Linked DNA regions of Tribolium castaneum. The protein of the gene in region 1 interacts with the protein of each later gene in a pairwise test. Links are inferred from orthologs where the notes say so. Each region holds a gene or a part of one and is shown in the gene's direction. Other genes may lie near its edges.

Evidence for each region.
Region 2: the proteins of g (region 1) and Vamp7 interact in a two-hybrid assay, tested with the Homo sapiens proteins (2 studies listed by BioGRID and IntAct). The link is inferred for Tribolium castaneum from reciprocal best matches to the Homo sapiens genes AP3D1 and VAMP7.

Annotation. Positions count from the first base shown.
Region 1 is NC_087401.1:15,046,751-15,051,075, forward strand, and holds the start of g (AP-3 complex subunit delta), read left to right. Parts: upstream 1-1,474; 5' UTR 1,475-1,518; coding exon 1,519-1,614; intron 1,615-1,660; coding exon 1,661-1,756; intron 1,757-1,799; coding exon 1,800-1,928; intron 1,929-1,975; coding exon 1,976-2,116; intron 2,117-2,164; coding exon 2,165-2,434; intron 2,435-3,913; coding exon 3,914-3,987; intron 3,988-4,034; coding exon 4,035-4,183; intron 4,184-4,296; coding exon 4,297-4,325. Other genes in the region: uncharacterized protein Proc, read left to right, coding at 142-270, 313-417; l(3)neo43 (cytochrome c oxidase assembly protein COX16 homolog, mitochondrial), read right to left, coding at 845-1,150. UniProt on the Homo sapiens protein: Part of the AP-3 complex, an adaptor-related complex which is not clathrin-associated. The complex is associated with the Golgi region as well as more peripheral structures.
Region 2 is NC_087402.1:8,581,467-8,584,613, forward strand, and holds Vamp7 (vesicle-associated membrane protein 7), read left to right. Parts: upstream 1-1,276; 5' UTR 1,277-1,468; intron 1,469-1,520; coding exon 1,521-1,724; intron 1,725-1,776; coding exon 1,777-2,005; intron 2,006-2,060; coding exon 2,061-2,128; intron 2,129-2,176; coding exon 2,177-2,341; 3' UTR 2,342-2,354; downstream 2,355-3,147. Other genes in the region: uncharacterized protein LOC103312779, read right to left, coding at 1-1,002. UniProt on the Homo sapiens protein: Involved in the targeting and/or fusion of transport vesicles to their target membrane during transport of proteins from the early endosome to the lysosome. Required for heterotypic fusion of late endosomes with lysosomes and homotypic lysosomal fusion.

The DNA of each region.
Region 1 (4,325 bases):
TGTCCACAAGGTCACCAAAACCATCACCGAGATGAAATTTCCTCCTAGTTTCCACCCACGCCATTCCAAGGGTATAAAAGTTGCAATGTGGGGGTTGCGAGTCAGTTATTCAGTTGCATTTAGCTAGAATAGACGTTCGCAATGTTCGATAGAAAGTTAGTTTTTGCTCTCGTTTTCGTCGTTTTTGCCACTTTAGCGGTCGAAGGCAGGTATCTACCAACGAGGTCCAACGGGGACAGGATCGAAAAACTCCGCGAGTTGCTCAAAGACGTAAGTAAAAAAAATTGAGATTTTTCAACACAAATTGAATAGTTGTTCGAAAATGAGGTCGAGAAAGAAGAGTACCAGGCCGACGCGCCCCCGCGGTGGCACCCCGAAAGCAAGCTCTTCTACAAACGCGAGGCCCCCGCACACTAGACCACCCCCACAACGACAAGGCAACGGACACGGAACACGATTTTTAAACATTCAATGTCATAGGTAGACACATTTTAAACTTTATTTTATTACCGACAAGAACAATTATTTTTGTAAATAAGTGGCCCCCTGATTGACAATAACGCCACGACCCTTGATAAGCAATTATGTAGTTTTAGGGAATTGTGTCAATTACTTGACAATATTATCATTTTAGAATTGATTGAGAGACCGTCCCGAGGGAGGTTGTCGGTAATAAAGCTCTTTATTGCAATTTGTGAAGCAATATTTTGACGAAACTTTTAATAAGTGTGTCATTTGTAATATCCTAAGGTGTCTTATTAAAGTGTTACATGGAATATGTGCATGGGAATAAAAATATATGAACATCCAATCGCTTTTTATTATTTACAAACTAATAGTTAAGTTATTGCGTTGTCTGCTCCTCCCACGGCCGGGGCCCCCTGACCTGCTCCCAATTATCGATATCAATCTTCTTGATCTTCTCGTACTCCGACTCGAGCGTGACTTCGCCCGGTTTCTTCATTTCAATCCCCAATTTCTTCATTTCTTCGGGCTTAACACTGGAGACTCGTGAAAACTGATACCTCAACTGTGCAAATTCACGGAGCCCGAACGAACCCCCCAAAACCACAAGAAGAAACGGCAAACCATATTTCACCGAACGTTTATTCAAAAACTCGTTTATTTTCGCCCCCACGTTATGCAACATTTTTTGAGGTTATGTCACCACATTTGGTAAAAAACAGTTTTGGGGGTAACAACCGGTCGGTGAACCTCCCCCAGGGATAAAATCACCAGTTTTGATCAATTATACGACTCGTCAAGGGCTAGGAACGCGTTTATTGTGTGTTATTTTGACGAGCCGCCACTGTCATCTGTCATTAACTTGTCAGTTGTCAACGTGGCTACGAAAAGTAAAAAACTGGGGCGAACGCTCGAGCGCCCCTTTAAAACATCCTGTGATATGAAAGAACTGAAATTCGGGCGATTCTGTGCGGAACTATTGCCCCAATTCGAACAAACTGGTCGGGTGGCTGTGTCGCCCCCTGATTTGATTTAGTCAGTTTTTTACGCAAAATGGCCTTAAAGAAGGTTAAAGGGAACATTGAACGCATGTTCGACAAGAATTTGACCGATTTGGTCCGCGGGATCCGCAATAATAAGGAGAATGAGGTTTGTGCAAAAAACGAGGTTATGTTAGTTGCCCCCTTGATTGTAGGCGAAGTACATCTCGCAATGCATGGAGGATATCAAGCAGGAGCTGCGACAGGATAATCTCTCAGTTAAGAGTAACGCAATCGCGAAATTGACTTATGTGAGTGATTTGGTAAATGATTTCGATTGATTGTGGTTTTTAGTTGCAAATGCTGGGGTACGATATTTCGTGGGCCGGCTTTAACATAATCGAAGTGATGAGTTCGAGTAAATTTACGCTGAAACGGATCGGTTATCTCGCGGCTAGTCAATCGTTTCATTGTGATTCAGAGGTGGGGTAATTAAGTCCGATTAAAACGTTGATTAATTGGGATTTTAGTTGCTCATGTTGACCACTAATATGATTAGGAAGGAGTTAAACTCGCAAAATCAGTACGAATCGGGGCTGGCCTTGACGTCCCTCAGCTGTTACATCAGCACTGACTTGGCCAGAGACCTTTCAAACGATATTTTAACTCTTGTAACTACCCAAGTCATTTAATCAAACACAACTAATTGTTGCTTTTAGTTAAGTTCCACTAAACCCTACATTCGGAAAAAAGCCGTTCTAATGATGTATAAAGTGTTCCTCAAATATCCCGAAGCCCTACGTCCTGCCTTTCCTAAACTAAAAGAAAAGTTAGAGGACCCCGATCCGGGGGTTCAGTCGGCTGCAGTCAATGTTGTGTGTGAACTGGCACGAAAAAACCCCAAAAATTATCTAAGTCTGGCCCCAGTTTTTTTCAAATTAATGACCACAAGCACCAATAATTGGATGCTAATTAAAATAATCAAACTGGTAAGTAGTTCGTATTTTTTTGACTACGGACAACTAAATACTAGGATGCGGGACGATGTACGAATAAAATGTCCCCGTTTTTGGGAGTTCCATCACCGACGGCAGATGGCGCAATATTAAAAAATATATTGTGTAGCACAGACTTGATCGGAATAATTTTTTAAATTTGCGATTATAAATTAATAATTAAATTTTTTAATAAAATAAAATAAATTAAATTGAGTGAATGGCAACTAAATGTAACTGAAAAATATTTGACTGACGTATTTTTATTGTTATTTTTATGCCGTAAAGCTAACTGTTCTTTAGTAAAAGAATATCAAACTAATTCATTACTCATTACAAATAATTAAAAAAAATATATATTCAGCGACTCAGTATTAAATAATTATTTTTGATTATAAAGAATAACTATTATAGACAAATTTTGAAAAAAATTACAAGTATACAGAAAAAATAAAGTATTTAATAGTAGTAAAAGCTTATTATACTGCTCTTCAAAAAATAACTTTTTTTAAATCGTTGATTTTACTTAAAACTATAACTGTAAAGTTAATAATTGGGACAATAATTTATAACTAATGGTATAATTTGTTCCAAACCTCTATAAATCATTTAAAAAATTGACTATAGCATTTTTTATTTTTTTTCTTTTTCATATTTTTCATTAAAGTTTTAACGTATGCTATTTTAAAGTATGCTATCATTGCATCTGACGATCTTTTGACTATTTCCTATAATATCGTTACTTATCTATATGTGTAATATTTCTTGAAGAAACCTTTCATGTCTATCGATACTGTGCTAAGATTTTTTACCAAAAATCTAAGGGAGAATAAAAAAAATTGAAAAGACATGTTATATTTTTCAGCCCCTTATAGGAATAAAAAATTCTCTGAGGATTCCCTGGTAGTTTTCAATCTTTTTTTTATTTTATATGCACACACATAAAAAACAAAAAAAAAATTTTGAGAAAAGAAAAAAATATTTGAAAAAAGTCTATATTATAGGAAAAAACTGAAAGTAGTGCGTTTAAATCTTTTTATACTAATTTTATTTAAAGGAGAATTGCGTTACAGACCAGTCTTATCTTCGATTACTAATTATTTTTTGAAATATAGAAGATATAGTACTTTTACCCCTTTACTCCCTATTTCTAATACGCTCTTATAAATAAGGTTGAAGATATAAAAAAGGTAAGGAACTAAGTTGTAGAGAATTAAATATTCTTTAAAAAAAATTGTAGTCTAAGATTAGAAGAATTTGAAAGATTTGGAAAATGCTTTTTCTCATATTTATCTTGAAAATTTTAGACAGTAGTAATGAATAAATAATAAAAGTAATTAATATATTTTTGGGTACAAAAAAAGTCGAATTATTTTGTATCTCGTTTCGCCTCCTAGCATATAGTTCTCCGTATTTTTTTTAAATTAACTGGATTAGGTCCTTTGATAAAGAAAACAACGCTTTTTATTTTAGTTCGGTGCTTTAACGCCTCTTGAACCTAGGCTAGGTCAAAAGTTGATTGAGCCTTTGACTAATCTCATACACAGGTAGGGTTGCGCCCTTTGTTTTATCATAATTGTTTTAATTATTGTAGCACTTCGGCAATGAGTCTCTTATATGAGTGTATAAATACGGTTATAGCAGTTTTGATAACAATATCGTCAGGAATGCCCAATCACGCCGCTAGCATACAACTCTGTGTCCAAAAACTGCGGATTTTGATTGAAGATTCCGACCAGAATTGTAAGTTTAGCGTGGGGCGAGTCATGTGTTTTTTTTTTCTTAAATTATTTTAACAATAATCACGTCACTCGCTCCATTAATTCGTAATCAGCGCCTTAACAACCGACTTCCAGTGAAATATTTGGGCCTTTTGGCGATGTCA
Region 2 (3,147 bases), on another chromosome or scaffold:
CTTGAAACGGTCTTCATTGACTTGTATCACTTTTTTGGATTCTTCAATCTCAATCTGTGTTTTCTTCCAGATGGTTTCCAATTTTCGGTTTTCGTTCAAAACTGGCTCGGATCTCGCCCGTTTTAGTAACTTGGCGGAGTTTGTTTTCACTTCCAGGTCAATAATACGGCCCCTTAAACGCTCATTCTGTTTATTTTGTACGCTTGGTTTTGCAATTTTCTCAGCTAGTTGTTTCTTCATTCTTCTGATGTCGTTGTTCTTGTGCGACATGTCCAAAGCAGCTTCGATTCCCTCAGGTTTCGGCACTTTTAAGTTAATTTCAGCGCTGGTTTTGCTTTCGCCGTGCCTGAATCTACAACGCGTGATCTCTTCTTCGATTATTTTATTGATGAGGCTTGTGAATTGTTGCGAAGTGGCTGCGTTTGACAAAATATCAGTGCATGCGACAAGTTTCCTCTTGATTTTGTCCAGTTTTTCGCTGTTTGAGTTGATGAGGGCATCCTTCTCGAGGATGTTCACCAGTTTGATGATATTCTTGAAGAGAAACTCTTGCGATTTGAGGATTGCGTGCAAGTTGTCAATGATGTGTTCCTGACTTTTCACTTTAAACTCGTTAATTTTGGTGTGTTCACGGCGCAACCATTCAGGGACTGTGTTCAAATTTTGGTTTTTCGGCAACTCTTCCAATTTTTTATCAACGGTTTGCGGCACCAAAGCAACAGTATGTGTATGTTTCTCATTTTCTTGCTTTACCCGGTTTATGTGTTCGTACAAGTAGCGGAGATCGTTCGTCACAACGTCTCCCTCACAGGTGTATTTGCTCGAGTTGTTGATAAACTCCAACATGTTTTCAAACGGGATTATTTGGGTCGCGTTGCTGTATTCGGTCGAAATTTTTCGCTTGAAGTGCATACATTTTTTGATATATTCGTGGAGTGTCTCGGCCGCTGCTGTGGTTAAAACCTTCCCACGCAGTAACAATAAATTTAACAGGAATTCCATAATTTGCGCCATGAAATTGAAATGATTGGAATTATTTGCTCGGCCACATTTTTTGAATTCTTTGACAACGCGCCACTCGATTTTCAAAAACCACAACATCTAACAACGCTTGTAACACGTTTTATTTGATTCAAATAAATCTCACTCAAACTAAACCAAGGTGTTACTTTCGGTATCGTGGCCGAATTTTACTATGAAATTATTTTTTTGGAGAAATTTTGAAAATGCACGGACGCCACTGGTGTGGTATTTAGAACATCGACTGAGTCATCGCTGACGCATGCGCACTTTGAAACCAAACGTCAGTGTGACACATGACGTTTTTGTTATTGTTCTCAATTTTTTATAATAATACCAATTAATTCAAAGATATTTGTGTTCGTTGTGCGCGTTTTTATCATTGTTACGTGTGTGGCATTTTTGGCGTTTATGTGAAGGTGTCAACGTAAATCGGAAAAAATAAAACGTAATTACGTCCCAACTGTTTAGGATCAATTAACATTGTTTATTCATTATAGATGCCAATTCTTTATAGTGTAATATCTCGGGGAAGCACCGTTCTAGTTCGATATGCCTCTTGCGCCGGGAATTTCGCTGAAGTTACTGAACAGATCATCGGAAAAATACCACCACATGATGATAAGTTGACGTACTCGCACGGGAACTATTTGTTCCACTATGTTTGTGAAAACCAAGTTATTTACATGTGTATTACTGACGATGTAACGTGGAATGTCGCGTAAATACTTGGTTGTATTGTCATCATTGTTTCAGGAGTTTGAGAGGTCACGGGCGTTTTTATTTCTCAATGAAATTAAAAGGCGTTTCAGGTCCCAATATGGGGACTCTATCCAGACTGCGATTGCATATGCGATGAATTCTGAATTTTCCAGGGTTCTAGCCAACGAAATGAAACATTATTCCGAATCCCATGATGTGGATACAATTTCAAGAGTTCATGGAGAGTTGGATGAACTTAAAAATATTATGGTCAAGAATATAGGTGAGTGTGAATAAATATTTTGTATGTGATATTTATTACTGCGTTCATTGATAAGATAATGTGGCGATGAGGGGAGAAAGGCTGGAACTGTTAGTAAATAAAGCTGAAAATTTGAATAGTGGGGTGAGTATTTAATAAAAAGTTGTTTTTTTTTCTGAAACTTTTTTTCAGTCTGTGACGTTCAGGAAGACAAGTCGCAATCTGGCACGTTCCATGTTTTGGAAAAACGTTAAGCTTTATGTTATCATTGGTGTGATTATTACTGTGATTGTTTATTTTATTGTTTGCATGGCTTGCGGAGGGCTTCTCTGGCAGGGCTGTATTGCTAAGAAATAAAAATTTTAAGATATTTTACTTTATTCATTACTTAAACACTGTACCGTTTTATCTTTATGTAAATAAGATTCCGCAAAATTAGTGATAAAAACATTCTTTTATAATTATGTAGTTTATCTTCGTTAATTTATAATTTTGTAATTGTTAAGGTATCGTTACTTGAATAAAGCAGACAAAATATACTCTTGTTTTATTTTCCCTCTAGTCTTTTATCTAATCACGTATTAAAAAGTCTCAAAAAATTCAAGAATTAAACACAAAAAAATCAAGAATAATTGTTTTAGTTGGTAACAAATTTAAAGAATTTTCTTATTCAGCAACTGGATACGGAGAAGCTATCATTAGTCGAACCACTTAAAAAAAAGATTTAGATTTGCCAACTCGAGCATTCTTTTTGTAGATATGTCTCATATTAGGTCTTACTAAAAAAAAAATTTAGAGATTCTGCAAAAAAAGAAAAGGATTCTGTGTTAAAGAAAATCCCAACGACAAATTTAAAGCCAAAAAAAACAATAATTCAAAGAGAAAATTATTTTTTAAAACTGACAGCTGTTGCTAATAAGATCTGAAACGGACCATACTCGTAAATTGGCATGTGATAAGAATTACTGCTTTCAAAGATTGAAATACAAAAGCTATAAAAGAGATATAACATTTAAAAAACGTAAAAGTAATCTTTAAGAAAGGAAATGCAAAAAAAAGGTTTCTCACATAATAAAATGAGCTATATAATATTAGAGAAACATTGTGAGGTCCTTTTTATTTGTTAATTATGATTAATTATAATTACCTACCTATTTCCGACA